Caenorhabditis elegans: one gene and its partners. The protein of the gene in region 3 interacts with the protein of the main gene of each other region in a pairwise test. Each region holds a gene or a part of one and is shown on either strand. Other genes may lie near its edges. The genes, in order: atrn-1, dim-1, gst-23 and zig-12.

Evidence for each region.
Region 1: the proteins of gst-23 (region 3) and atrn-1 interact in a two-hybrid assay, tested with the Caenorhabditis elegans proteins (one large-scale study listed by BioGRID).
Region 2: the proteins of gst-23 (region 3) and dim-1 interact in a two-hybrid assay, tested with the Caenorhabditis elegans proteins (one large-scale study listed by BioGRID).
Region 4: the proteins of gst-23 (region 3) and zig-12 interact in a two-hybrid assay, tested with the Caenorhabditis elegans proteins (one large-scale study listed by BioGRID).

The regions. Positions count from the first base shown.
Region 1 is NC_003284.9:14,708,241-14,718,300, reverse strand, and holds the start of atrn-1 (CUB domain-containing protein), read right to left. Parts: upstream 6,723-10,060; 5' UTR 6,708-6,722; coding exon 6,594-6,707; intron 6,003-6,593; coding exon 5,890-6,002; intron 5,824-5,889; coding exon 5,736-5,823; intron 5,688-5,735; coding exon 5,575-5,687; intron 5,528-5,574; coding exon 5,414-5,527; intron 5,352-5,413; coding exon 4,907-5,351; intron 4,858-4,906; coding exon 4,599-4,857; intron 4,550-4,598; coding exon 4,464-4,549; intron 4,119-4,463; coding exon 3,875-4,118; intron 3,823-3,874; coding exon 3,679-3,822; intron 3,632-3,678; coding exon 3,448-3,631; intron 3,393-3,447; coding exon 3,269-3,392; intron 3,223-3,268; coding exon 3,063-3,222; intron 2,396-3,062; coding exon 2,108-2,395; intron 2,056-2,107; coding exon 1,882-2,055; intron 1,830-1,881; coding exon 1,665-1,829; intron 1,610-1,664; coding exon 1,466-1,609; intron 1,422-1,465; coding exon 1,324-1,421; intron 1,270-1,323; coding exon 1,054-1,269; intron 1,004-1,053; and 9 more.
Region 2 is NC_003284.9:8,053,626-8,060,670, forward strand, and holds the start of dim-1 (Disorganized muscle protein 1), read right to left. Parts: upstream 4,596-7,045; 5' UTR 4,588-4,595; coding exon 4,543-4,587; intron 4,260-4,542; coding exon 4,202-4,259; intron 4,155-4,201; coding exon 4,077-4,154; intron 4,006-4,076; coding exon 3,952-4,005; intron 3,905-3,951; coding exon 3,369-3,904; intron 2,742-3,368; coding exon 2,567-2,741; intron 1,084-2,566; exon of another isoform or gene 948-1,083; intron 1-947.
Region 3 is NC_003283.11:3,240,162-3,246,018, reverse strand, and holds gst-23 (Glutathione S-transferase), read right to left. Parts: upstream 2,736-5,857; 5' UTR 2,725-2,735; coding exon 2,590-2,724; intron 2,548-2,589; coding exon 2,460-2,547; intron 1,983-2,459; coding exon 1,579-1,982; 3' UTR 1,517-1,578; downstream 1-1,516. Other genes in the region: srj-7 (Serpentine Receptor, class J), read right to left, coding at 1-79, 165-266, 315-431, 477-564, 614-780, 825-1,016; srj-11 (Serpentine Receptor, class J), read right to left, coding at 3,383-3,649, 3,704-3,892, 3,943-4,147, 4,199-4,305, 4,347-4,595; str-16 (Seven TM Receptor), read right to left, coding at 5,583-5,629, 5,671-5,848.
Region 4 is NC_003284.9:8,761,240-8,768,284, forward strand, and holds zig-12 (Ig-like domain-containing protein), read left to right. Parts: upstream 1-2,667; 5' UTR 2,668-2,669; coding exon 2,670-2,735; intron 2,736-2,781; coding exon 2,782-2,916; intron 2,917-3,697; coding exon 3,698-3,788; intron 3,789-3,835; coding exon 3,836-3,948; intron 3,949-4,093; exon of another isoform or gene 4,094-4,239; intron 4,240-4,622; coding exon 4,623-4,811; 3' UTR 4,812-5,041; downstream 5,042-7,045. Other genes in the region: M02D8.5 (CUB_2 domain-containing protein), read right to left, coding at 186-313.

The DNA of each region.
Region 1 (10,060 bases), on a different chromosome or scaffold from region 3:
TAGAGGTGTTGGACCTCCGGCCGATGAGAATTGGCTTAGCATGCTGAGCTCCATTTTTGTCGATGCAAAAGGACGGGATGCCATCTGGAATATGAAAAAGTTAAGTAAAAACAGTTCAAAATCTTGTTGACATATTACAAAAAAATATTAAACGTGTCACGTCAAATTTGAATCCAGACAACCCCGCGAAAGATTTCCTCCCAATGTCGCATGCTAAAAATTGGCTCGAATCGAGAGATGAAAAATTCGGGAGATGCTGGAATCAAATAAGACACCATCTACTTTTGCCGGACAACGCAAAAGTTGAAAAGAGTGGGTGATACCTGGCGGCCGACAACCCACGGCTTCCGCGTCTTGTTATAAGTAACGCTAGCATGCCACGCCCTTCTAAATACACACCAACTGAATGGGCGGGGCATGCTAATGATATTTATAACTATATACCGAGACGCGGAAGCCGTGGGTTGTCGGCCCCTAGGTATTACCCACTCTTTTCATTTTTGCGTTGTCCGGCAAAAGTGGACGGAGTATTATTTGATTCCAGCATCTCCCGAATTTTTCATCTCTCAATTCGAGCCAATTTTCGGCATGCGAACTTGAGAGGGATTCTTACTCGGGATTGGCTGGATTCAAATTTGATGTGATACTTTTAATATTTTGATAATATTATTACTAACTTGAACATAGTTGAGAAATGGGTTCCAAAAAAAACTTCTATTTTTTTCAGTTTTCATTTTTTTGTAAAAGCTTACATGCTCAATTTCATCTATCCGCCGCTGATTCCTGCGATAAGCTTCTATCCTAACTTTGATCATCCACAGCAGACCGGCAACGACTAGAAGGACAATGAAGCATCTGGAATTTCGTTTTCTAGGAAACCATTTAAAATAGTTTTCAAAGCTTACGCTGCAAATATCACGAAAAACAGGACCCAGTTGATCGGCGGTGATTGTGCAAAACTGACAACAATTTGAACTGGCGTGTTGAAGTTGTATACTCGAACCTGAACAACATAAATGTGTAAACTTCTTAATGGTATTGCAATTAACTTACGAAAAAGGTAGTGTTCGAATCTGGACCAAATGGATATCCCTTATCTGATGCCACATAGACACGTCGGAATCCTTTCGAGTCACAAATTGTATCCACCATCATGGCTTGAGACTTATCCGCGAGCCCGTTCACATAAGACGAGGTCATGTTCAAAGCAACAAGTGCGTTACCCTTTGGAGATTCACAGCTGATTTGGAATGTGACGTCAGTGTCTTTCTGAAAAGAACAAAATTATAATTTATCAAATAAACATGACAAGTTAAGATGTACCTTATATGGAACACTGTATAGGTAAATTTCACTCGTGTGATTATCCTTATCGTCGCTTCTCAACTTGAAGGTGAATATGAAGTCTACGGCTAGCTCATCTGAAATTTGAACTTGAATTTCATTAAACCATAAAACAACTTACAGAAACATGGTGTTCCATTTCTCGGATTGCCCACATATTTCGCTTCACATTTATCACAGCGGTCTCCAGTGACTCCTTTAGTTTTGCAGAAGCATTGGCCAGACACTGGGTCACACATATCAGCTTGATGATGGCAATCGCATGCTAGAAATAATAATTATAATTGATCATTGTTGAAATTTTGATTCAATGTTCTTACGTGAACAAACTCCTCCGTTTCTGGCGTCGCCGTAAAAACCTGGAGCACATCGCTCACAGTGAGCACCGGTGGTGTGGTTTTGACAACTTTGGCATTTTTCAATTGTGACCGGAGGGAAGGAACCAACAGAAGTGAAGCACGTAGAGTGTCCGTTGCATTGGCACGCTGAAAAGTTGGGTTTTAATGAAATCAATTAACCAATGTTATCAAAACTTACCAGGGCAGTCTATAAAATACCAGGTACTGTTTTCTGGTTTTGGCTCTAACGGGCCAGTTGATGTACCACGGATGCAAAGTCCGAGACCAGTCTTGGAGTCGTCTGCAAGCCATCCACATCCTGGATCTCTCTGGCATTCTCCGCAAGTCTTGTGCTCTTCGCAAACAACTGACTCTGAAACGCCGAATAAAAATCGGAATGCAAACGCTTCAAAGAGGTTACTCACCAGCTTGACAAACTCGATTGATAACACTTCCTGAGCCAGATGTAACCCACGAGTGGCATTGTCCATAAGCGAATGACAGCGTGTATGCTTCCAAGTTGATGCATCTATTCGTGCTCGGACACCACATGCACTGCTCAAGATCGGTGCAATCGCTGCAGTTGTTCCGCTGAGCACAAGGCATTGGGCATTCGGTAGCGTTACGGAAGAAAGATGGGAAATGCGAAGGTGAGAGAAACTTGTTGCGATCAGCAAGAACTGACTTGGTCTCATATTCGTAGACGACGGCAACTGAAAATAAAATTGAATTGTTAAAAGTTTGTGATTCCAAGTGTTGGGCGGTTTTTTTTCAAATCAATAACTGTCCTATTTATTGAAAAATACCAAATTAAACAGTGTTTTTTAGTTAATTCAAAAAAAAAAACTCAAAATAAAAACATTGTGTGGCGTGTACTTTTTCTCGTCCACTCACGGGAGTGGAAGGCAAAAATCTGAACCCAACCAATATCAGGCCGCCGACATCTCACGGGTTCCGCACGCCGCTATGTTTAACTCGCAGCGGGCGGAGACAGCTCGCCACGCCCACAGCGAGTTAAACGCAGCGGCGCGCGGAACCCGTGACATGTCGGCGGCCTGATATTGGTTGGGATCCCGATTTTTGCCTTTTCTCCGTGAGTGGACAAGAAAAAAGGCGGGGCCTAAATATTAGGTTTTCTGCAGTACACGCCTTGCAGTTTTTTTTATTTTGAGTGTAAAACTCACTTGTTTCTGGCAGGTGATTATTTCATGCACTATATAATACATAGAAACATGTTCGTTCTGTCAAACTTTTCTCAAAAATGTTTCTCCGGTTTTTATCAAAGTATATATAAAGTTTTCATAAAATTGTGCTTGGCCTCATTTTGTAAGCTCTCAGTTCTCTAGTTTATTCCTCGTGTATATCATACAAAAAACATACTCAAATCCTCCTTGCTCACACAAGGCGATGCTTTATCAATTGGGTACCAAGTGCAGTGTGGTGAGATTCTACAGCTACCACAGTTGTTCTCCATATTGCATGGACGCATTGTTGCAACACTATTTCTTTGCGGGCACTTCTCCCAGGATGTTAGCATGCCCTGAAACGATCGCATAATTTACTAGTCAACCGAAAATTTTTCTCACCGGTCCATCCACACACTCTTGCTCATTTGGAAGACATTGCTCTCCTGAGGAGCACCATCCGCATCCGGATTTAGAGGCGCAAGAGACACAATCCGTTTGCTCTTCACACGTTTTCAGAGCGAGTCTGAAAATGTAAAGCTTGCAAGTTGAAATTCGATGTTTTTTTTTTCAATTTTTACCTTAATGGTGTATTTGTGCATTCATCAAAAGATTTAGGTGTCGATGATTTAATCATTGAGGCGAACGATGATTTGTAGGAGACTGTTGGGTCAAATGGAACGCAGGAACTGTCGACGAAAACGCATTTTGTGCCATCGGTGATTAGACGACATTCATCAGGTCTTGTAGCTGATGAGCATTTTGCTAAAATAATAAACTTGAACACTTGAGTTGCTTTAAGTTAAAAGTACCTGGACTCAATGTCCAAACGTCGCTCTTCATTTTTCCGTTGAAACCACCAAGAGCATAAAGCTTCTGGCCGATAACATGAACAGAATGGCCAAATCTTTTCAAATCCACTGGAGCAGTTGACATGTTGGACCATTGCTTACAAGCTGAAAAATTAAAAGTAGACGGCTTAAAAATTGCATCACTCAATTGACTCACCAACGTCATAGGATTGCACCATATTTGAAAAGCATTCGCTTTTACTTCCCGCCGTCACATTCGATCCTCGACCTCCAACGACTACCATCAAGCCATTAAGGTATGCAGCAGCATGAAGATATAGTTGAACTCCAGACTGTGGAAGATTCGACCATTTCTTGGTAGATGTGTCAAATTGCATCAAGCTGTCGGTGATGGTGTTGTTCCACATGCTACCACCATAAACCAGAATTGCAGTGGCTCCCTGAAATGAAATGATTTTCCGAATGGTATTGGAATTGTTTTACTAAAAGTTTTGAATTATGTACAAAATCTAAGTTATCCTCGTAAAACTGTCTTACGTCTAGTAATAATTCAACAAGCAGCCGACATTATGCTGTCATCAAAATTTGTTAAAATATGTGTAGCACTAGCGAGGTATCGGCTGTCAGTTTTGGCAAAAATATTGGGGGTTCACAATTGTTAAAAATCAAAAAAAAAACATCTAACCCTGTTTTTAAATACCTTCAATGACGTCACTACGACATCGCATTTTTTAAAACCAAACTCAGTTAATTAACTCAAATTAGTAGGACTCTAAAAAACTTACTGTTGGTGTTGTGTATTCCACTGCGGAATGTTTAAACCTTCCGTAAACATGATCGCTTGTGTTGGCCACCGTCCATTCTTCGGTTTCTGAAAGCATTTTTTTTGTTTTTTCCGACTTCTTTTTTTGTTTCCTTACCAAAATTATAAATCTGCACGTGATGCATAAAGCCAAACAGTGGGTTATAGCCAAATATCACAAACATCTCGGATCTAATCACATGAGCTGAGTGACCTGCAACTGCGAATGGCGCAGCAATAATTGTCTCATTCTTGTGAATCTGTTGAGCCCATTTTTTAGAGCCCATGTCAAAGATCCAAAGCTCGTTTGTTGCGGCTTGTGTCGTTTGGTGACGGACTTGGGTTTTTGTAACTCCTCCGAACATGTACAGCTTGTTCTGAATTCAAAAAAATTGGTAGAGAAGTCTCGAAATAGAATGTACAAACCTTATACTTGACAACTGTGTGATCAAAGCGAGGTTTCGGCATATCTCCGGACACCTCCACCTTACTCCAAATCCGACTTGTCACGTTGTACACGTCAATGTTATTCGGATCAGAGCTTCCATCGAAAAACTCTCCACCGATGCTCCAAACAACATCATCGATAGCGATTGACGCGTGGGAAGCTTTTCCGGTTGGTGCATTGTTAGTCGGGTGAATCAGGTCCCACACCGATGAAGACACTGGCATTTGACAGGTTTCTCCATGAACCCTTGCCGAGAGACATTCACATCTTCCATCAACACATTGACCTTCATGACACGGACTTTCCGTGGATTTTCCGCTGAGTTGGCAGACTTGATACTCACAGTTGAGACCTTTGTATCCATCTTCGCAATCACACTTTCCATTCAGGCAGCTTCCATGGTTTGAACAGTTATACGCACAGCTGCAAATTCACGTTTAAAAACTTCAACAATCTCAACTTCAATAAATATGTCGAAAACTCACCGATTTGACTCGTATGAAACATTGAACCCGTTTAAATTAATGGCTAAGTCACTGAAAAAGTGCACCAGTGCTTTACCAGAAGCCGCAGTGAACTCTTGTGATGGTTGTTCTCCGCTGAAATATTTCATTTTCACATAAAATTTTAAAATTTCAAAACCAACCATAGTGCGGCAAGCTGCTTTCCATAAACACTATCACCATCGTAAATATACAAATAATCCCAGCCGCACTCGGTGAAAAAGCTGTTTATCCGAATTTTGAGTGGAGTAGCGCTCTGCAAAATTTAAATGTTATAGAACATCAATCTATCATCAACACATACATTTTCCGGTTCAATGAGCCATGTGCATTTTGCTGAAGGGCTATAATCCAGAGGTCCATCCGAAATGTAGCTCGCGTTGTCAGATATTCTAAAGAAATTCAACGTTTTTTTTTCTTTCGTTTTTTGTTTGAAATAAAGCTTAAATGTTGCTCACCGTATCCGCCCAAAACAGTGATCGCACTGTGAACCGTACCATCCTTTCGAACAAACACAGGCCTTGTTCAAGCAGACGCCGTTGTAACATGGTTTATCGCATGATGATAATGACTGAAAATTTTTGGTTGTGGGAATTTGTTAAGCTTTGAGATGTTATCGCTAAAAGTCCCTGAGGGAATATTTTGGAAAATGTTATCAACATTTTTTTGATAATAAACAAAATCAACACCACTAGTTTTTCGAATTTTGAAAGGCTTCAAATTTTTCCAATTGCTCTTTCAAAGTCAGAAAATGGCTCAAAAAGACCAAATTTTGTAATGATTTTTCTTGATTTTTTCAAAAAATTTTTTATCATTTTTGAAGTTAACTGAAGCTGCGGCCGTAATTTATATTTTGTTGGACACTTTTCAGATGTTTATTTAGTGCATGAAGTACGTTTTTAGGCGATACATTTACATACATATTTGATTACTTTTGTGTAAATATTGATTAAAAATGTACCGAAATTCACAAAAAATGGTTATAAACCCTGCAAAAGTATGCGAAATAGAAACAAAAACATTTCTGGTCATTGCAACACGGAGAAGTTGATAATTGTTTTTGAGGAATTTCAAATAGATTCACGATGAAATTCAGTCTTTTTTGTCAATTTTGAGTCAAGAAAATTAACTACTCCGCATTTTTTTTAAAGTTTCAACCTACCTTTTCGAATTCAAAATTTGCATGATTTGTTAGTGTGTGAACTCGGGAGAATACTTGAAAAAGGAGGAAAACTCGAAATATAAAGCATGGGAATACTTCCCTTGCTGAAATCATCACGTGCACATCGGTCTGTAAAAAAGGTTTCATTAGAATAAACTTGTCGAAAATAAGCAAAAATTGTCGCAGTAGAGAAAAAGGAACAACACTATAAGCATGACTAATTTGGAAGAAGACACGTCGTCGTAGAGGAAGAAAAAGGCGATGATGATGACGACAATAATGAATGAAAAGAGGCACTGCGAACAGAATGAATCGATCGATAGTACGCTTGCGCGAAGAGATGCGGAGAAGGAGTGTGCCGCAAGAAGAGAACGCAGAGAGAAGCGACGTTAGGTGGGTAAACTAGGTAGACAACACCAATTTGCTTTTAAACGTTCGCGAAATGAGTCAGTGTGTCTTCGCTTTTGGTTTAATTCGAGCGGTTCTTTTTTTTTAACCAACGCAGTTTCTTCAGCTTTTAATAGGTCACAAATGTTGGGTGTGAGGCGGGTGGTTTTTGATCGTCACATTCTAAGAAGCTGTAAATTTCTTTTTTTTTTAAATTAAATCAAAGTACATAGCTTTGGTCAATGTGAAAATAAATTCAAACCATTTATGAAATTATTCATTGAAAATAACCGGGAAAATAGTGGAGAGCAACTGAGTCCCCAAAAATGATTAAAATCAAAAAAGATTTATGGTTAGCAACTATAATTTTAATCAGTCACTGAAATAAGTAACGGCTTGTTTTTTTCTACGTGTCAGTATTTCAGTAGTATCACAAACTTATAATTTTCACATTGGGAAAAAATTGGAGTGAAAAATAATTTAATACTAAAGTGTTTGAAATCTGACAATACTTTTCGCTCACATTTTGCGTCCTGTTTTGTAACTGTGATTTTTTTTCTAGAAAAAACATGGTATATTATAGTTATTATCAACCAATGAAAACAAGGCATTAGAAATAAAATAAAAATATCGAAAAATATTTTGGAAAGTGACCAAGAAACATTGTCAATTTATATGTAAATGGAGTGTTCGAAATTATAATTTTAAAGAAGTAGGCAGGTAATTTTTTTTGTGATTTTGAGAATGAATTAGGCATTCAAAAAAAAACTGGAAAGAAGTAAAAATAATAACCTTTTTTAAAACCCATGTTTTGAAAAAAGATACTGGTGTAATGTTTCCGAGCATTTTTAAAAAACAATCCAATTTTGTTTTATTTATTTTTTCGTTTCGTAAAAAGTATTTCATCTATAGACTAAAAAATCTGAAATTAGCAGACCGAAAAATGTTTGTATTATCACTATTCTTACAAAGTAAAAACCACCACTATCACCCAAAAAATTCTTTATTGAGGGCGTTTTTAAAATCAATAGCTAAATATTAATGTGAAAATGATGTTGTATTGAATTTTATCAGTTGATACCTAATCGAGAAACGCCCTGTTAAAATGCAAAATTATTGTAAGGCATTCCAAAAAAAAAGCTGCTGGCACTGACCAAAACAGTATTGCTACAAGGAAACATTTCGAGGTCCCTCCAAACTTAACACAAACTGAAATAGCTTCCGCTATTTCTGCACAATGCCTCTGCAAATAGTCTGTTCAAAAAATGTTCGAAAGAGCGGAAATCAAGTTTTGGCAGTCGTTTTTCGATTCAAACTATGAGCATAGTAAGCAAACAGGCGGCTTTTTTTGGGTGGAAACGGAACAGAAAGAACAGAAAAATCAGCGTTAATTCTTAGTTTCTCAATGATCTTACGTTTTGCAACGCATGTAATCTAGTTCTCAAGGTTATTCATCTCTCTCAAAGTTCCTACTTTTCTACTTTCTTTCCGCAATTGCATTTGTAAATTTGGATGGAATATGAAGTGATAGAACATTGATCGGGGGAGAAGGAATGAGAAGAAATATCTCAATTTCTTATCATTCGAAATTTCCTTTTAAATGACGCACCAGGAAGTTCAAAAATTGTTTCACTTTTTTTTTTACCTTTTTTGTCTTTTACTTTTTATAGGATATTTTGCAATTTTTACAGTCAATTGATATGGAATATCTTAAATTTGGCATATTTCAATGACAGTGTCTATTATATAACGTAGTTAAAGATCAGATACTTTGATCAAGACTTACAGAGATATGAACTTACAAAATAGATCAATTGGAGACAATATGAAACATAATGCAGTCAACTTTTTTGCTGGTTTTTTTTTGTAAAGTTAAGGAAATTGCTGCACGTTGGAACATTTACAATGTTTGAATAGAAATGATTCACTTGTAAAATTGACAAAAATAATTTTTTTACAGTTAACTTTGGAAATTGTGTGGCTAAAACCGTGGCTAAGATATTTTCATTTTTTTAAAGCATATATATTTTTTGAAACTTTTCTTTTGAAATTCGAATTGTGTTTTATGTTTTAAAATTTTGAAAATATAGGTGGTTGTTTACAAAAAAAAAATACAATTTTTTCCTGTTTTCACAGGCTGCTTCTCTCCATAGCCAAAAATGATTAACTATATTTTTTGGAATAAATCAGTCTTATAGACATTTCGAATCCCGCCTAACACACCAAATTTTGAAAAACTCGGGAATCCTACATTTAAATTTCAAAATTCAAAAGTTTTAGTAACTAAGCACAACATTCTGAAGTGCCACTTTCACAAACTAAATTTTGAACGAAAACGTAAAAATTGTCATTTGTGATTTACGACTTCTAAGGTTTCCATAGCGGCTCCCTCCCCATTTTGGCATTCTGAAAAACAATTCACTTGGTCTTCCTCTTTGTGTGCCATCTGTGTAAGTTATTACTTGAAAATACAGCTAAATAGAAAATGAGAAGGAGTCAGTAGTTTGGCAGGCTGTTTGTTCGCAACAGATAAGATATGATTGTCTATTAACAACACTATTGTTTACTATTCTCACTGACTTACAAAACAACCAAAAAAAAAATTGCCAAAAAAACAGAAAGTAAAAAATGGGAAAAAAACAAACATTATTTATTTCAACTGTGTTTTCCTCATTTTCTTTCTATTTTCCTATTTTCTCCTCCGCTTTCCCACTTCTTCTTTTTCTTCTTAAAACTCAGCCTCAAAACACGTTTGTCTCTTGGATCCCAACCACAATAATCTCTGCCGTCTCATCCACCCCCGTAGTAGTTTTTTCGTTCGGTTCTCTGCCGATCTCTCTCTCTCTCGCTTCATACACAATGAGTCAACTCCCCCCCCCCCCTCTCACATACGCCGCTCGTCATCTCAGCTGCCTATCGATCGACCGAAGCGGTGCAACCGCGCTCTATGGGCAACAGAAGAGGGATGCTGCTGCCGGGTACGTCCATGCTTTCTTCTGCCCGACGCCGCGCACTCGTCTTCTTCTAGATCGCCTGCCACTGCTTCTTTCTGCCTTCTATTTCATTCCTTCTCCCGTTAT
Region 2 (7,045 bases), on a different chromosome or scaffold from region 3:
CATAAACCATAACAGCTAAAAACGACAGAAAACCTATTGCACAAAACTAATTTCCCAATAAATCATCTAAAAATGTAAAACACACACATCATGATCGGGGAACATATGTTCATCCCGTGAAACTGAAACTCATGCAATCTCAACGACTTGCATGGCTGATCCAACGCATCTCGTGGAACCTATCAGAAATCTATGACTATGACGGAATGAAGAAACGTGCGATTTTGATTTTTCAAACAAAAAATGAGCGCGGGTTTAGTAGGGGAGGCAGATATGATAGAGCCGCAGTGCATTGAAAATCGAAATCGGCACTTATCTCAACAGTATCTTTTTTTAATAGCTCAAGTTGACAAACAAAGGCTCGCACCCCCATAGAGTAGGTGGATAGTGGAAGAAAAGGAACTCTCGCTTTCTCATTGACAAATAAAATTTCAGTTACCTGGCGCCACGATTCATTCAATATCATTCTCGAATCCGATCTAAACTCAATGTGATCATATCACAAAAAATACTCCTAGAGGAAAGGAAAAGCTGCAGAAGTATGTGTATACTTGAGACAGCCTTTTGTATTTTTGAGTGGTTGTGTGATTTTTTTTGAATGAACATTGATGATATCATAAAAAGCGGGATATGAAAAAAGAAAATTGAGCAAATAGCTTAAAGAATTTTGTTTGGCAAATGAAATGTACATGATGAAGTTAAATAGTTTTAGTTATTGGTAGAATTCTTACCAGGTTGATTTATATCTTTCTTACAACTACGCCGATTTGTTCTCAAAATAATCGGCAGAGACAAACAATTTCGCAAAAACACTTCAAAATTAAAAAAAAAAAGTTCCGAGAAATAGATAAAATCGTTGAGTACATGTCCTACATAGATCAATATGCAGACGACAAATAGTGTATGATCTCATCATTATCGGCTTCACACGTCCCCCCGAAGTTCTCCTTAGTTTCCATTTCCCACCCACGTTTCATCAATTTCGCCTTCGTGTTAGACGAGCAGATAAACGTAATACGAATCGCGTTGGCATATGTCGCGAAGATATTTGCTCATTTAACCGACCGAGCGGGACCTCCTCATACGCTTTGGAAAAAGAAATTTCCCTGCTAACACACACGCTAAGACCCCACAACTGTTCGAGTTGACTGTTCGGGCTTCTGCGGCTTTTACGAATGGTCCCTATCATCATCATTTGCTTGCGGAGGAGTTGGTGGCCAAGTGGAACTAGAGATAAATGAGATTTATAGCCTAGATGGAAGGTTAGAAGACTACTTTCTTAATTTTTTACGCGAGAAATGAAACGTATATATTTGATTCTACCAGTTCTCACATTTTAATTGACATTCATTTTTTAAAAATAAATTTAAACTCTACAAAATAGCATGAGACAAGAACAGTAGAGTAGCAAAAAAAACACTTTTTCTAGCGACGCTAATTGTACAACAAAAAAATTGACTGAAACCGAACACAATGTAACTGTTCAATTTTCCTTTTTCACTCTAGAGAACAGTGCAAAAAACTGGTGGTGAGCGAAAGAGTACACAAGAATGTGAAGCACAGTCCCAGAAATTTTGAAGCAGCCATCAGCACAGTCTCATTGTGTGCAATATGAAAAAGTAAACGGAAGGAAAAAAGAGTAAAAAGGACAAGATGAACAGTGCAAGTAACAAATTGTTGTGCGAGATCTCTGCGTAATGAGTTCATAGCATAAAAGAAAAGTGGTCTGGTCAAAGCGAACGAGTGCAAAGAAAACAAATAGTTACGACAAGAATACATAGAACCCCCAAACATTCATTGCAGAGATGTTCGGCAATGTCAAAATTCGGAAATGTTAAAATTGCCAACCTCTCAAGGTTTAATTATTTAATTTCAAAATATACGACTAGGCTTGTAAATTTTTGAAAATATTCAGAAAGTGTCAAAATCGTAGCTCAGTTTGGATGGAAAAAATTATTCGTTTAAGATTTGAGTTTTTGATTCGAAAAAATAGAATGCTATACCACTCAATTTATTATATATTATTTGACCTATCTATTTGTCTTATTTTCAATGAAAACTTTCTTCTATTAAAATCATACTAGAAAATATACAATTTGAGCATTCACTGGAAAATAAAGAAAAAAACCCTAAGAAAGTGATTGTATGTATAATAGTAACTTCCGAAGAATGATGCATTGATGCATAAAAACGACGGGACATTTTTATCGTGTTTCCCCCCAAAAAAAATTGTATGAAAGCAAATCCTGCGTCGTCAGTCGGCGTCACTTCAATAAATATATACGTACAAGCAGAAACCTCCCTCCCGACCAATATTGTTGACTATTCTTCACAACTTGTTGCTTTTTGCCCTCCTCTTTTCCCTATTTCTTTTCTATCAAGTACTATATTTCTATGTTTGTCGGGAAAAGAGCGCACGGTAATCTCTTGCTCATTTGTTTGTTTCTAAGATCATGGAGGCGCTGTGGTTGACACAGTGTGCAGACCATTCGATTTAATTTCCAATACTGTTTTTGTTTATTTCTTCGCTTATTGATAACTGACACAAGAACAAATAAGTACTCACCATCAAAATAGTAATCATCAAGGTCTTCACTCTCTGTCGATGTTCCAACTCTGCACTTAAATGTTTTCTCAATTTGAGTACATGTAAATTGTGAATGGACTATGTACTGTTTGCAGCGGAATTGATGTTGATTGAGATCTAAACGGGGCATTTTTGACGATCGTGGATCCTTACTCTGAAAATTACAAGCCATTATTTTTTGGGAAATTAATATTTTGGAATAGTTTTGAACACTTTTGTACGTTTTCATGTTTTCATTTTTTGCAGTTTTTGCTGTGTAAAACTTTGATATGAAACATGATCTGTTTAAGAGAAACTGTTGAGAAAATACAAGATTATACATTTTAGCTTTAAAAATTTCATGCAAAGCTGTGTAAAACACGGTGAAAAAATTTGAAAAAAAAACTGGCTGATGGGTGTTAATTCAAATAGAAATTGCCTACTTTTTTGCCAATTTATGTTTCAGTGACGATTTGAATGTTTTATTGGTTTTTAAATATGAAATGTTCTCTATAAGGAAAGTTACTAATAATTTTCCAACAATAAGAACTCTTTCAAAAATTATCTTGAAAACATATAACAACTGAAGTTTTATTTTTATTTTTTTGTTAAATCGTTATGTTTAGTAAAAACTTTACATTTTATTTTATTTTACAGTTTATTGGTTCTTCTTGGTTTTAGTTGGAAATATTATGTTTGAAATTCATAGAAAGTCGGTCATGTTTTACTTTTTCACTAACTTTTATTAATTTTTATGTCACTAAACTAACTGTTAGTTAAATTTGTAAGTTTTAAAACTCACTGGTAACAGAAGTGGCCTTTTTAACAGTTTGAGAGCCTCGGTTGCATTTGTCGTGTTGGAGGTTGACACGTCGATATTATAAGGTAATTCACTCTCTGTGGCTTTTTTACTAACATGCTGTTGCTTAGCACCTGTCCTCCCTATGAAAATTCTCTTCCTATGGTTACTCGTTGCATGCGTTGATTGCGGGGTCTTCTGATTAAAATCCGATGCGATATGAGACCTCTCATGCCTCTCTTCATCATCTGACTGCTCTCCAAATTTTTCTACCTCTTTTGTTGAAACTTTCGGTAGTTTTGTGTCAGTCCTGTCACTTAATTCTTTAGAAATATAAACTGAATTGTCATCAGGTTTCATTTTCACTGGTATTATCGTCACTTCTTTGCTCGTACTGGGCGGTAACTTTCTCAAATATTGCTGCACACTTTTGTTTGAACCATTTTTCGCAGTTAATTTTTTCTGCATTTCTTGGCGTGTTTTCATCAGTCTTAAAAAATATTCAGAATGCTTCGGTTTTTCCGTCATTCCTTTTTGTTCTGAAAAAATGAATAATAGAAACATTTTTTAACGTAATCGAACATACGATTTTGTGAAATGAATGTTGTTGGTTTACTTCTTGTACAAAGGTTTTGATTATCTGAAAAGTTAATTTTATCATATTTGAATTTTGTCTTTAAAAAAATACAAATCGTATCCATTAACACCTACTATATGATCTGGGTAAGCTGTAAATTGATGTTATCTCTCCAGGCAATGGGGTTGAAGTTCTTGGGTATTCATTTAGATCTGAAGTTGAAAAATTATAAGATAATTGACAAAAACACTTTACTTACCTTTGCTAGTGCATTTAAAATGATTATTGATTTCCAGATCGTCGAAACTTTCATCAGCCTGAGTATATATAATATTTAGCGTTTTATTCTTTTTTTTTAAAATTAATTAGAGTTATTGCTTCCTTATAAGCCAGAAATTTCTGAATCGGGAATGTACGCAATATGTCGTGGGGGTGTTTGCACAAGGATACTACTCAATAAGTGGTAACACTGCACATCTCACTGTGATTATCGGTTCTTATTAAAAGTGTAAAGACTTGTGTTAAGTGAAAACACCAAGTTATTAGAATAGCAAATATTGCATCGAAACGTTGAAATTTTACAAAAGTTTTGACACTTACCAAGATGGAGTCGGAAATTTTAAAGAATGGTGCTAACGATGCCATTCTTATGGAGTTAAACTGAAAAAATTAAGATTTGTGTTGTTAATTATAGAAAAAAGGACGAGAATTGAAATAAAGGATGAGTGAGGAAAAAAAAGCTTGATGGACGGAAAGTAAACAAAAACTGATACACAAAAAGTTAAATAAACAAAAAGTGAATGAAAAGTTTAGTAAGTAAGTAAGTATTGTAGGTAAACGGGAACAGATGACTTTGTGGTTTTCAGACAAAACAAAACTTTTAAGGCGAGTTTTTTTAACCATTGAAATAATGAAACAATAATTTGATTTGGCTTTTTGAAATCTACCTAATTGTTGTCAATAATTAAAGTCAAGTTTAACTGACTTGCAATTTTGTTTTGGTTTGAACAATTGGCATAGTTTTAGAATGTATATTGTTAAGTGAGAACTTTCATTGAAAAACCATTTTCTCATCTCTGTAATCAAAACCAACTAATTTCATAAAAGTCATAAATTGAAGGTTATCATAATTATGAATTGATCAATTTTTGAAGCACCTTCGTGATAAAACTGACCACAAAAAAACTAAATGATATCGGCGTGTACACATGTGGTGTTAGGCCTAAAATCCGATATTTTCTTTCTTTTCGATAACTATGAGATCATTGTCGGCGGTAACGGGAAGGGTGACTAGGGGTCTTTTGCAACCTGGAATTGTGGGTGACCGGCATCGAGGATGACCGACATCGTGGGCGACCGTCGCCGTGTAAAAAAAAACGCACAAAAATGTGTTTGATGAATTGGGATTAAACATAAACTGATAAACAAATAAGCTATAACATTCGAACTACTTGGAGTATTTGAATTCGCAAATGGGAACACTACTTCTGTGCATTAAAGTAAAGTTTTCAGATAAATCAAACATTATCAACAACTGAAAACATTTTCGATTTAAAACTTTTAATGCTACTTAGCTATTAACCAAAATTTGAAAAAAATTTAACTTACTTGCCGGTCCTTGTAATTTGAAAATTAGATAGTGATGTTGAAAAATGTTCAACAGCTTTTATTTTGAAATGAAATAAAAATACTAATTCTAATAAAACAAGACATTAAAAGTTTTCAAAAAAATTTAAAGGATTGGAATCGGTCGTAATAAAATCGGTTGCATTCAAATTACAATGAGAAAACAACTTTTAGAATATATCGACAAGTACAGTTGGGTAGCCAGCATGCAAAACATCCAATACTTTCATTTTTCGATAACTATGAGATTACCGTCGACGGTAACGGGAAGGGTGACTAGGGATCCTTTGCTACCTGGCATCTTTGGTGACCGGCATCGTGGGTGACCATCGCCGGGTAAGAAAAACCTTAGAAAAGGTGCTTAAAGGTTGGATGGTAAACGTAAACTAACAAACAAGTATGCCGGGACATTAAACTAAAAACTATATTATTTGAACATAAGTTCGCCGATTTTTCAGGATATTAATAAAAAATCACATACCGGAAAAAAATTCAATCAGAATTTCTAAATGAGATTTAATTATCACCAATCACTCAAGAACCGATATTGAAACATGAGTATACTTTGTAAAAAATTTTGTTGCTCCCAATTGAGAATTAAAAAACAACAATATCGACAAATACAGTTGTGCTAGCAACAATACCTAAAAATCCAATACTTTCATTTTTTCGATAACTATTAGATCACCATCGGCGGTAACGGGAAGGGTGACCAGAGGTCTTTTGCGACCCAGCATCGTGGGTGACCGTCGCCGTGCAAGCTAGAGATGCGTTGCGGAGAAGAGAATTAGACAACGCCAGAGTTCAACACTACGAGACGAAACGACATCACTATTCAATTCTAAACTGTACGTACTAGCCACCTGCCTGGAGAACCCGTTGAAAATCGACTTGATCGATATTTGGTGAAAGGGTGAAAAGTAGGAGACACGAGAGGGGGAAAGATGTCAATGAGGACAGGGGAAACGTATTTTCGAGAAAGTTGACCTTATCGACCTTGAGCACAGATGGCTCGTAATAACAAACTGAGTGCAGCCGAAGACATAATCGGAAAAAGCAGCCGATAAAAGTTATAAATACATTCATCCAGAAACACCAACTGATTTTAATAGTGGAGTAGCGCCATAGGGTAAATTGCTTAAAAAAACATTTTTATGGTGCAAAAATGATTAAATATCATAGTAACACTTATTTGAAAGTTTTGAATAGTTTTTTGTTGACAATCAAATGTTGCAATTACTGCATTTTTGCAGCTTATTGAAAACAAAATTATAGCACTGCAGAATGCTCAAATCACTGTAATGTTTGAATATGAGTATTTTAAACATAATTAGACTATTAAATTTGTAGGAATTGTTTAACTATGTTTTATTATGACTATGTTAATTGCTTCCCCTATTCCAGATATTATCATATAGTGTTCCTTTGAAATTAATATAAAATAATTATTTCAGACAACCCTGCATACATAGAATGT
Region 3 (5,857 bases):
CAAAAAGCTGCCTCTGAAGTCGTAAACTAGTTGCACTCAACGTTCGATTAATAGTCATGCACCGAATTTTGTGAATTATCTGAAATACTTTTTTTACTTTGGGCTTTACTTATGCTTAATCTCAGGCTTAAGCTTATGCTGAGGCTTAGACTTCGCAAACTTACTTTATACCCAAGAACAAAATAAACCGCCATTGAGTACCATGAAATAATAGTAAGAAGAATGATTCCAAGCCAGCTGCGAAATTGGATACCTGGACGGACACCCTAAAAAGGAAATTTAAATTTCTGAGTTTAATCTAGTTTTAGACATACCCAATAGAGAGCTGCCAACATTGGAACTCCATTGGACTCTTCTCCGTACTGATCTATGAACGACGAGCGCACTATTTTCCTAACTTCGTCGTCGGCCGCAAGGCAATTCTGGCAGATCTGAAGCAATTACATTTAATTATTTTATTTTCTGGAAGCTTTCACCATAGTCCAAGAGCCAGCGTGAAACAACATGAGCAATGTTAAAAATAGTATACCAATCGGCCGGAAGAACAGATGAAGCTTGTGCGGGCTGAAATAGCCACTGTTCAAATATTTTCAGGCCTAAATAGTTGACTCACTAAAACAAGGCCATGTACCGATAGACAAAATGGATGATCAATAAGGCATAACTGATGGAAATGAACCCACACCGATTCGACATTGCGTGCTGACCAAGTTCTGGATATTCAAAGAACAAGCCGTCTGATATAAAAACCACAAATCCATGCTTGTTGCCTTGTACACCCTAGACAAATTCATTAAAATATATTCACACCTACGGTAAATTACCAATGGAGTTAAAATCTCGGATATTGAATACAGAATGTCAAAGACCGAGAACATTATCAAAAGATTCTTGTAGCTCCCCACTTGAGTTTTAGTTTTGGTCACTACCAAATATATGAATATTGGGTTCACCAGGAAGCTTAGTGCTCCCAAAATTTTGGGAACATTTTGATGGTACCAGTTCATATATATCATAGTTGTATTGAAAAATAATGGGATCTTCTCGATGAAGAGATGTAGAAGTGTTTTCCCCTCTTGTTTTTCTTATAAATGCCGAGTTCTCGTAAAATAGTATACTCCTTTGGGGTTGGGGCACTATGTGTTTTGTGACTTGAATATTTGTCTGCTATGGTAACTCCGTTTTTGCAAAGGAACACACTGAAAAGGGTCGAAAAAGTCCTCCATGTGTGATAGCGTCATTGAGCAGACTTGAGGTGGGTGTTATCTGTATTCTCCAGGGTCTGATTCATAAACAGCACCTGTATTAATTTTCAAACAACGTTTTACTCCTACTACATTGGTTTTTCGTGTCAGGACCCAATGTTTTATATGCAGTAGGTTATCGTGAAACCTATAGACTTTGATAAGTTAATTCAAAAAACTTTAAAAAAATTTAATTTTTAAGTACTCGAAATTTTGATAGCTCATTTTTTGAAAATGGTTTCACAGTTGAGTTTTGCTTTTTGAAACAATAGTTATTTGAAACAAGTTTTATTAGTATTGCAAAATTAATTTAACACAAAAAAATCCGAAAGTTTTATTGTTTCCCATTTCCACTGACGAATGGATTTAGTTCGGCCCGTTTATTCAAATACAGTCTCATATTGGGCCGCTCTGCAAATCGTCCATGAAATCTTTTCAGTGCTGGGGTGCCATTTAGAGCAGTTGGTGTGAGGATGAGGTGAATATCGAGAAGCTCGAATAGAGCATAATCTGCATAGCTCAGCTTGTCCCCGGACACAAAGTTTTCGCCGTTGTTAAATGTGCAGAACAACTTCTCAATTCGTAGTAGCTCCCCGGGAAGAGTTTCAGTTATGTATGCTTCTTTGCCATCTTCGTAGTCTGTCTTGATCATTGTGAAATATTTGGTGCGTAGATCGCGGAGCCCTTCGGAGAACATATCGATGAATGAGGTCTCTGATTCAGTGGAGCCATTGAGTCCTGAGAAATTTTAGATGTTGTTTTTTTTTCTTTTTGTATTGAATTTTAAATAAGATTTGCAAAATGTTAACTCAACAGCCGGGAAAACAATTGTTAATATATTTTTCGTTATTTTCTCCAACTGATATTTTGAGATCAAAAAAAAATTGTAATCAAAAACGCATTAAGTCAGCCTAGAAGAGCTAACTATAAAGCCAAAAGTTTAAAACAATTTATTGACTAATTTGACGACGTTTAGAATTGCTCCAAAAGACTACTTTTAGATAATTTTTATACGATTTCGGATGTATACATTCTGCAAGTTTTTTTGAAAATTTTTATTTTGAGAAAATCAAAAAAATTTTCACTCAAAAAAAACGATTTTTTCAAAACAAAACATTTATCAAAACAATTAATAAGCAATTTGACAGGCTTTTTCTTTTTCATCAATTCGAATGAATTTTTTATTTCAAAACTGTAAATTTTCTGATTGCTCACCATAAATCCGTCCAAGATGACGAAGAATCGCTGCTGACTGGACAATCGTTTCAGTTCCGATATGAAGACACGGCAATTGAGCGAAAATCTGGAAAATTCTACTTTTATAGTTTCAAAAATTATGAATCACCATGGTTGACTTCATTTCGGCCCACTCTTCTCGGCTGATACGGTTATCTTCAAATGGGATTTCCTGGTCATTGAGCAAGAGCCGAATGGGCTCCGCGAGCCCACGAATGTCAAAGTATGTGAGCTTGAGTGTCATCGAAGTGGTCTATAAATTAGAAAAACCAAATTAGAAAAACGTAAATTTTATGATTCCGGTAAATTTGAAAAAATAAAACTTTTGAGAATTTGGGAAAACATAAATGCAAAAATATTATAATAGAGGGCAACTATACGAATTCATACATGTGTTGTTGTATTTTCGGCAATAAAAACCGAAAATATAATCGGGTTAGGGGTGTGACGCGATTGTGAACTGTAAATTAGTAAGGTTTATGTGTTGATTTTAAATTTCTATACGGTTTTTTCCTGTAATTGATCAAAAATAATCCCATCGACAAGAATTCTCCAAACTTGACAAAATAATTTTCTAGAACTATCATCCCAACTCAAACTTAACGACATTGTTATAAAAGTGCTAAGTTGTTCAAAAAGTTACAGTACTAAATTGAGAATAATTTGTTTTTAAAAACCAAAAAAAAACGAAGAAAGTGTAAGCTGTCTGCAAACTTGGTAAGAAAAGAGGGACACGTTGAAAATGTCCGCAGGCTATTGAAAAAATCTATAAAGCAAACATGTATTTCGAGAAATGCAAATAAAACTCTTTCACATTGATTAAAAAAGAACGTTGCGAAAAATATTTATGGAAAAAAATAAGAAATTTTATAACAACTTGGACAACACTTTTCCTCAAACTTTCAATAAACTTGAGCTGAATTATCCACGTTGGGTCGGACAGTCGATGTTCCAGAATAAAAGTATTTGATTGGCATTTTCACAGTGCGAAAAAGCTTGTTCCGGTAGTTGGGTAGGAGGAAAATGATAGCAAGTGGATCTAGAACAGGGAACGCTGACAGTGCAATGACGCCCAAATAATTGTTCCACATTCCGAGATCCAATCCGATTACAGGACCGTACCAGGCCATCATGCAAGGGGAGAAGCTGATGCAGATCGGGATGAAAGTCTGAAAATGTTTAGTTAAACAATTTTTTTCTGAACTCTTTAAAAACATGTATACCTGAACTGCAAGGGCTTTGAATAACTGTCTATGCAATTTCTGAGTCGTTGCAGAAACCCCTGGATTATCCGCCAGCTTTTTCATAATCTTCCATCCAAGAATAACGTATAGAGAAATTGCATATATCGAAATTCCAGTCAGCAGCAGAATTCCAATCCAGCTTCTTCTTTTGATCTCGGGACTTGCATCCTAAAATTTTAAGGGGTTAGTGTTGGTTCTTTGCTCTTTTCGAGCCTCACGAAAAACAATGCCATTAGCATGGATAAATCATGTGAATCCACATGGTAATCTTTTTGAAAAGCGTCATAGATGTAGTCGAACACTTCTTGATCTCCATAGAGACACATCTCGCAGACAGAACTCCAAGCTATTCCGTGAAAAACAAAAAATACAAAGAGACCAAATAGCCCGGACGGCCGGAGAAGTCGATCGATTATTCGGGTGCTATAATTTTTAAATTTTCGGATTTACGTGAAAAATAAAAATAAAACTCACTTAAATAGCACAAGATACCGATAGATAAAGTGAATGACAAGGATTCCATATGAAAGAGAAATACACCCACATCGAATTGAGACAGCTAGTTGGCCAAGCTTCCCAGTCTGAAGTTCAATCATTTGGTGTGTAGAGCTTTCAAACTCACCCCAAAAAATGGTCCGTCAGCTAGGTAAATCACAAAAGCTGCCCCAGTACCATGAATTGCTACGGGAACGATTAGCTCTACAGTTGAGTAAGCCATATCAAAAATTGCAAACCCTATCAAAAGATATCGATACTTCCCGATCGAAGCCTTCTTTTCGGTGGCTATCAAGCAAATGAAAATTGGATTACACACGAATGACAAAATTCCAAACAATTTTGGAAGGTAATGGTGAGACCAGTGGATATACATAGTCCGTCTGAATTTCTTTCTGAAATTGTGAATATTCAGATTGTGTTAATAATTTATAAAGCAGATTGTATCTGAATCAGAAAAAGTGTGAAGGAATACTAATTGTATTTGTTTTCGAGCCCTACGCAGATATGCAATAGGATTAACAATCATTTAGGTAATGTGCTCGGGACTTAGATTGGTTCAAAAAGTCTAAATGAGTAATAATGTAGGATTGGTAAAACGCTTGGAAGACCAGAATCAAGATGAAAATACAAAAAAGCCTAATGAGTCAACCTGCTGATGTGTTTGTCGTGAGAGCAAAAGTATCGTACTTATTTAACTTTTTAAAAGTTTCCCCAATATGGTTACTTTTTTTTACAATACTCGGGCTTCAAAATTTTAATTCAAACAAGTTTGGAATTTTCGATAGGCCGACAGGCAAACTAGTAGGCAGGCTCAGGTACACATAGACCTGCTTGCCGCCAAATTGTCTGAAAATTTGAAATTATTTCTGGGCTCACCAGCGCCCGGCACTTCATGGGTTCAGCTAGGCCCGACATTACTTGGGTTAGGCAATACCCGACATTTTCTAGGTTCCGCAGCACCCGACATCTTCTGGGTTTTGTATTGCTAACTTGTTTATGGAATTTTTTGCAGACGGCCGGAGACAGGCATGAGTTTCTTCAAAGGTAGGCCTACCAATACTGGCGCAGACATCGATGTACGAACCTCAAACTTTCCTTTTCTGCCAAAACGCTGTGCTGAGAAATCATTCTTGTGGGACGTCATTAGAACAAAATTTTTCAAACAGCAGTTCGGAAAACATTCTGATTTTCTTACAAATAAGTTTATTAAAAACTACAAGTAAATTTTAGAAGCGTGAAATCTTTCGGCACAAAATAGTTCAGAAATCTCTGTTTTACTTTTTTCTGACTACATCTACAAATGATTCAGAGCACATTCCACATCACGTAACAAAACTGCAATCTTTTGTTTTTGAACGAATTATTGCTGTGACGACGCTCCGGATGGTTTGTAGATTTGGAACGCAGCTGAAAATATTTTCTAGACAAATTTTTCCATTTTCACTCACTTTTGAACGCTCGCCGATAGTCTGTGACGACGTACATCAGGATGAATGCATCAAGCGCTGGATACAATGTGAATCCAGACAAGAAGACTCCTGTGGGAACACTGAGCTCCAAATCGAGCCACGGAAGGTAGATCACAAAAACGATGGGAGAGAACAGGACAATTGTTGGCGTGGTTATCTGATTTAA
Region 4 (7,045 bases), on a different chromosome or scaffold from region 3:
CACTATTATCACAAAACGAATAGCTGCTGACTAGAGAAACGGATATCAGTTCCGAAAAATATCTCATCAATTTATGATAATTGATGGACTTTCGCAAAAATGTTTGGTCTATCAAGTTCATGTGGCGGAGGTAGAGGTGTTTTTTGTGTAACTAAGTAATAAGATCTTGTGTTGAAAATACTTACTCTGATAATTGTCCAGTGTATGGTTGTGGAAAATTAGGTGTGGAAAACAAGATACCATCTTGAAAAGCAACTGAGGTCCGGAAAAAAATGATGAAAAATAAAGGAATCAAATTTAGTTTTGTATACATTTGTGTTGCCAGCCAACCACGAACAGTTAAAAAATGACAGTACTGATAGGAAAACCGCACATCGTGTTGATTGAAAATGTTTCTATGCTCACAAACTTTTAACGATTTTTCTCTTTGTTACATTGTTATATTTACTGATGTTTTTTTTTGAATAAGAATTATATTTTTAATTGAATTGTTTAAATTGAATTTTTTGCTCACATTGAAGATAACAAACAATACTTAAATTTCGAAGTTTATTTGAAATTCCATCATTAATTTTTATGATTTTCTGCTTCAGATCTCAAATTCGATGTAGTTTAACGTTGAAACAAAAAATGAAGGATGAGAAAGTGTAAGCCATTAGAAATCCAGATGTCTCAGACGAGTGCGTCATCCAATTATTTTCCAATGGTACCTTTGAAGTGTTGAAGATATGGGAAAAATGAGATCGGCTTCTACCCAGTGACTGGAAGCAACTTAAACAAAGTGCAATCTACAAAATTTCGATCTGAAATTGAAGAAAGAAAAATAAAGCAAACCACAACAAAGTGATTCTTTTCTCTATCTTTTGTATCTCTTGCTCCTACAAAATATTTTTCATGCGAAAATATTTGAATTACACACTTGAAAAATAATTTGAGAAAGGTATTCCCTGACGTACCGAAGTTTCAAATTACACACACTCTCGGCATCTTTATACAATATCACTCTTACTCTTTGAACTCTCTGAAACATAATATTTGATCTTTTGATACATGATTTTCAGATTGAATGTGGAGTTCCACTGCTGAATTACAATATGGAAAACTTACAAGGTGTTGGATAGAAAAAAGTAAGAATGAAAACAGTTTGGTTCATATAAGTTTATTATAAAATAATTTGTTTTTAACTGAAAAATTGTCAGCTTATGTTTTTACCATTTTTGGGATTCATCTCATTTTGAGACCTAGAAAGGCAATATATTTTAATTTTTAACGCGACTGGGGCATTTAAGTGTCCTATATCGTTTTCCACATTGCTCTATTCGGCCAAGTCTGGTAGCTTATTCTCTGGTTTCTTTCTAAATAGGAAATTATGCAGCTTATTGTAAGATGAGGCCAATCAACTAAATTGTTCTTTGACCCAATGCTAAACCTACATAGTTGAATTGCAATGTGGTCATAAAGAACCGCGAAGAATTGACATTATGAACGTACAATGCAGATATCATCAATGAAACCATGCACAATGCGCACGCCGCGATTTGCAAAAATGTGCACATCATGATCGTCCTATTGTGACAGGTCTATAAATCCATTGCTTTCGAGTTGCTCAGTTTCAAAGTGGCATTTTCATTTAACAACTTTTGAAATCCTTAATACTCATACAACAACCAGCGACGTCATTTCCATCCGTTCCCAAATTGCTCATTGATTCCGATTTCAAAATACTCTCAAATATCCTTTGTGAAGCGTGTCTCGTCAACTTTGCCTTCGCCCTGCAGCTCTTCATTGAGAACTTTGTAAAAATTTTGGGATCTTCAACGTCGACGAGAAATGAAGAGTTAGGTGGGAAGTGCCATCCCATCCACCTTTCTCCTCCTCCGCAAAATCTGTGGGCAGCTCCGGGGGGCTCCCGGGACATTCATCTTTCCCATCTTTTTTCGTCGTTTCGTTCTCCGACTAGCGACCAGGAGGCGGAGAAAGAGCTTAGCAGCAGAAGAAGTAGAAATTACAACACCTTCGTGAAACAGAGAAAAAGATAAAGGGAAAATGGGACTCTAACAGCGACCTCTTGGCACTTTTGTCAGTTGGAAACTACAAGCGAGACATCATTTTTCTCCTCTTCATATTTTTTGTTCTCCTCTCAAATTTGTTTTTTTTAAATTTATTCTTGAGTGCTGATCTCAATGCACAAAAAACATGACTAAAATCAACTGTTATATGTACAAAAAACCAGTGATTCAATTTTCGAAGCATTTTTCAACCTTCAACCATTGGTCTTTTTGCCTTTTTCTTTTTTTTCTCAGCATTATAAAGTGTTTTCCCTCAAAATACTGTTGACACATCTTGTCTAGATCTTCTCCAACATTCCCCTACTTGTGCTTGTTCATTGAGAACATAAAACATTGTTTGCTTAGTTCTCCCACCCAAAAGCCACTACGAACTACCGTTCAAGAAGTCTTTCGTCTCCTATTTTCCTGTGAACTCAATGGATAAATGATGGTAAAAACACATTGGCAGATCATTTTTCATTCGCTCTTGGCGGCGCTCTTACCTGATCAGAAAACACGCCCCTCTTTTCTTTTAGTGTGTAAAACTTTAGGTTACCGAGATTCCGTATATTCATGGCTTCGTATTCAATCATAAAACTACAGATTTTAATTTTTTCAGATATGGCACCACCATCAATTTACGGAGAACCAAAAATTAGATCAGAGAACGGGTCGGTGTTCCTTGAGGTACGAATTTGCTTTTCCTTTTGAAAATTGCTAAGTTTTCTTCCAGGTCATCGTCACTGGAGCTGATGTTTCTAAGATTCAGTGGTTTTTCGGACCAGACGAGCTTGAGGAGAACGAGTTCCTGAAGTTCTCAAACAGTGACGAAGGAGGCAACCGCACCAAGTTTGTTGCCGAAATCAAGGTCAGTTTGAGAGCAACTGTTTGCCAAAGCATCTCGTATAAATCACATAAAACGACTCACGAGTCATTTTATGGTCCCATTGCTGCGATGCGCTCTGCAACTGTTGTCTGTATGTGTTTTGATCTGCGTTTAATTGGTTTTTGATGGACTTACCGTAGATTTTGGGCAAAAGTGCGGCAAAAGCAGAATTAGCTGTCGGTCGGGAGGTGAAAAGCAAAACATAACAACGGTTAAGCATTTGATCAAAAGGAAACTCTAAGTACATTCATCATTACAAAATACTTTTTACTTTACTATATTCTTTATTTTTTTCGTATCTCACATTAAATATACATCAATAACGTGAACTGTAATTTTGAAAATTCAGTAAACATTAAAAAAAGCCGTGCAGTTTGAACTTCACATTAGGAACTATAATTGTAAAAGTTACTAATGATAGTAGTAGTTGAAAAACAAACCACATAAGCTACATTACTGGTAAAACGGAAAAGCAACTGAAAAACTGTCCAACGGTCCAAAATGCCGCAGACTGAAAAAAAAAACTGATGTCCGCCGGTGGTCTGTCTCCATGTCAGCCAATAAGCCGATTGTCGACCGCCCCGGTCGCAAATTTCGTTTTTCTAAGCTTAAAAAAAAACTCCGAACACAAAAACGATTTTATCAGCTGCCATTGGGCCGCTTCTGAGCAATCCCGCTTTACCTGTGATAAAAAATAATCGGAATTATGAATTTTAACTGTTAACAAAACACCTTTTTGCTTCTTTAAATCATCATTTTATAGGACTTTGATAAACCACTTGCCGGAGAATACAAAGCCGTCTTTGCCAACGCCGATGGAGAGAACAGCTCTAACTTCACAGTCGCAGCAGGAAGTGAGCTCATTATCAAAAACACTAAAAGCTTACACATACAATTTCAGACGCCCCAGACTTCCATGACAAGCCACATATTGTTCAAAGAGATAACGGAAATGTGATTGTGATTAAGGTCCGCGCAAAGTCCCACCTTGAGATGAAGGCCGAATGGTTCAAGGTATGTCTGTCACCTTACTTTGAATCTTAGGGGAAAAAATTTCCCTGAATTCTTATTCGGTATTTTTCTTGGCATTGCTAAATTCATTTTGGTTGAACCAGAATAGAGCTTCTCGAAGATGGATCGACTGACTGACGTGTCTTTTTTCTTTTGTCTTCTTTCTTCCACCGAAGAAAAAAATGTAGTTGTCCTAATTTCCACATTTATGTTAGTCGAAGTGAACCTCTCCGGCTTTCTCAAGGGGATTCAAAATAGAAAGGCAGAGATGGGTAATGTAAAGAAGTGTGGAAATAAGACAAAAGTTGGGAGGCCTCCTCGTCCGCGCCTTTGGGTTGTGCCGAGACAGATACTTGAGGCTCATGGAGCAGATAGAGCGAAGTTTTGAGTAGTGAACAAAAAAGAGAAATGGCGCAAAAAACTAAAAGCAAAAAGGTTCAATAAACATTAAAAGAATTCACTTGTTGTCTGGTTCAAAATGTAAAATGAAAAATGAAAAATGAACATTTCAATGGGCATGCTTGGAACCAAGTTTGAGTTTTTTTGGAATGCTTTGATAAATAAAATTAACAAACTTGTTTTGGAAAAAATTTTCTGAACGACCGTCTAGTATAAATCATTTTTAAATTAACAGAAAAAAAGTAAATTTCATATTTTTCACTAATTCATTCTTCCAGGATGAAAAACCAGTGAAATTCACTGACCGAGTTAAGGCTGTTGTAAAGAAGGACGATAAGGACAAAGACGGATTCCAATTCCTACTCGAAATCACCGGACCACAAAAAGACGATGAAGCAAAATACAAGTGCGTTGTCAAGAACTCCGAAGGACAAAACCAACAAGCGTTGAACTTGGTTTTCGATTAATTTTATAAATTTTCCCTTGGTTTTTAATTGTCATACAATTCAATTCATAAAGCCTCAAATCAATTTTCATGTTAATCGTTGCTTCTGATTTTCGATTTTGGTAGTTGCACTTTCCGCTTTTTTTTCTTCTGTAACTTTTAACGTTTTGTAGTATTTGTCTTCTCAAAGTAATTTGAACTTTGTGTCCCATGCACATGAATTGGTATCAGCCAAAATAAAAAAGTTTCTTGACACATTGAACATGAGAAGATATACTTGCAAGTACAGAAATCAATATATATATATACAGTGCTGGCCAAAAAGATATCCACTTTCAGTTTTTTGACGATTTCGATATTTTTTCCAATGGGCATAACTTCAAAACTAGGAAAGGTACCAAAAAATTTTCAACTGGTAAAATGTAGCTCGTGATCAGGCCTATGTATTTTTACATGTTGCAATTATTCATCCATCACATGGCAAGTAATAAAGCGGCGGGCATCTCGTGAGTCCGTTTTTGACGATGATTACTAAAACGACTGTAACTCAAGAAACATATTTTTAATGAAAGGTTTGAGAAAGTAACAAAATGTTTATTTAATTTTTCATTGTTTGAACATATCAACTTTGTCCTAAAACCTCCATTTAAAAAAATGTGTGCGCTGAAACTAGTGTCTCATTAGACACTGTTTAGAGGCTTTGTTCAAAAATCAGGTTTCTTGGATTGAAAATCTTTTTCCGACAATTTTTGTGAAGAACTGATGTTGTTATTATATTTGAACTACATATTAACCAATAAACAGAATTCAGAAAAAAAAATCTACTATTTTTGAGACATGAGCTCGAGATTACTCTACACTTCTCTTCTTTAAACTCTCTTGTCTTTTTCAATGGAGGTTTCAGGACGAAGTTAGTATGTTCAAACAATAAAAAATTATATAAACATCGTGTTACTTTCTAAAAACCTTCCATTAAAAATATGTTTCTCGAGTTACAGTCGTTTTAGTAATCATCATCAAAAGCGGACTCACGAGATGTCGGCCGCTTTATCACTTGCCATGTTTTGGGTGAATAATTTAATCATGTAAAAATACATAGGCCTGATCACGAGCTACATTTTACCAGTTGAAACTTTTTTTGATAGCTTTCCTAGTTTTGGAGTTATGCTCAATGGAAAAAATATCGAAATCATCAAAAAACAGAAAGTGGATATCTTTTTGGCCAGCACTGTATATACGTGTCTTTGCTGTAATTCAGTGATGCAGATAGTAGATAGTGCTTTATCATTTTAGTTTTTCAACAATTTTTGTAAACTCTAGTGTTTATCTAACAAAATAAAACCATAGAACAAAATAATATTGAAAATCATCCAACGGGCAAAAGTTTACCTAGTCCAATTTAGACTACTTCAGTTGAAACAACATTTTTGCTATCACTTTGAGAATGCCGCTTTTGAATCTGCAATCTACGTGTGCAAATTTTAATATCTAATTTTATATCAAGTTGAAAACAATCTAATAAGACATAACCCCGAAAATCAAAAAAAAATTGGTAACCGGCTGCCTGTTTTGAATTGAAAATTATTTGATTTTACGGCGAACGGTTCAACATAGATTACACAGTAAAAAATAATTTCAAAATATATATAATTTACTTTAGTAAGACATTATTGTTTTGCGGTTAAATGACCTGTTAAACATTTTAAGGTAAAAAGAGTGTTATATTTTTCCCTCAGCATGCCAAACTTATGTAACAATTTGAAGAGTTATCTTAATAAATTGAAATTTTTCAAAAATTGTAAATTTATTTACAAAAAAAATAATTTTTCTTAATTTTGAACCAAAGCCCTCACTGCTATTTCAAACTTCGCTGATATATGCGTTAACCCACAACCCAAAAAAAGAAAACCGACTTCTTGACCTCAAACAACTATTCCGAATTCAACTGCAATATTGAGAGGCAAAAGAAAACAACAAGTCCCAAAACCAGTTTCAGTAGCAATGTTACCCATGGGAAAAGTAAGCGACCGGAAGGAATAAAAAGGAAAAAGGAGTGTGAAGGAGGCAGGCTAAATCGAAAAAAAGACAATGTTATCAGTGTATTCTGAAGGTCCGAAGGCGTTCACAACAAGAAGATAGAAGCTTTCGTGGGTTTTTTCTCACTTTTCCGGAATTGTTTTTTTTTGTTGCTGTGAGCCGTTTTCTTTACCAAGTTTGGTTTTGTCAGAGGTTTTGTTAGATTTTTCACTGCAAACT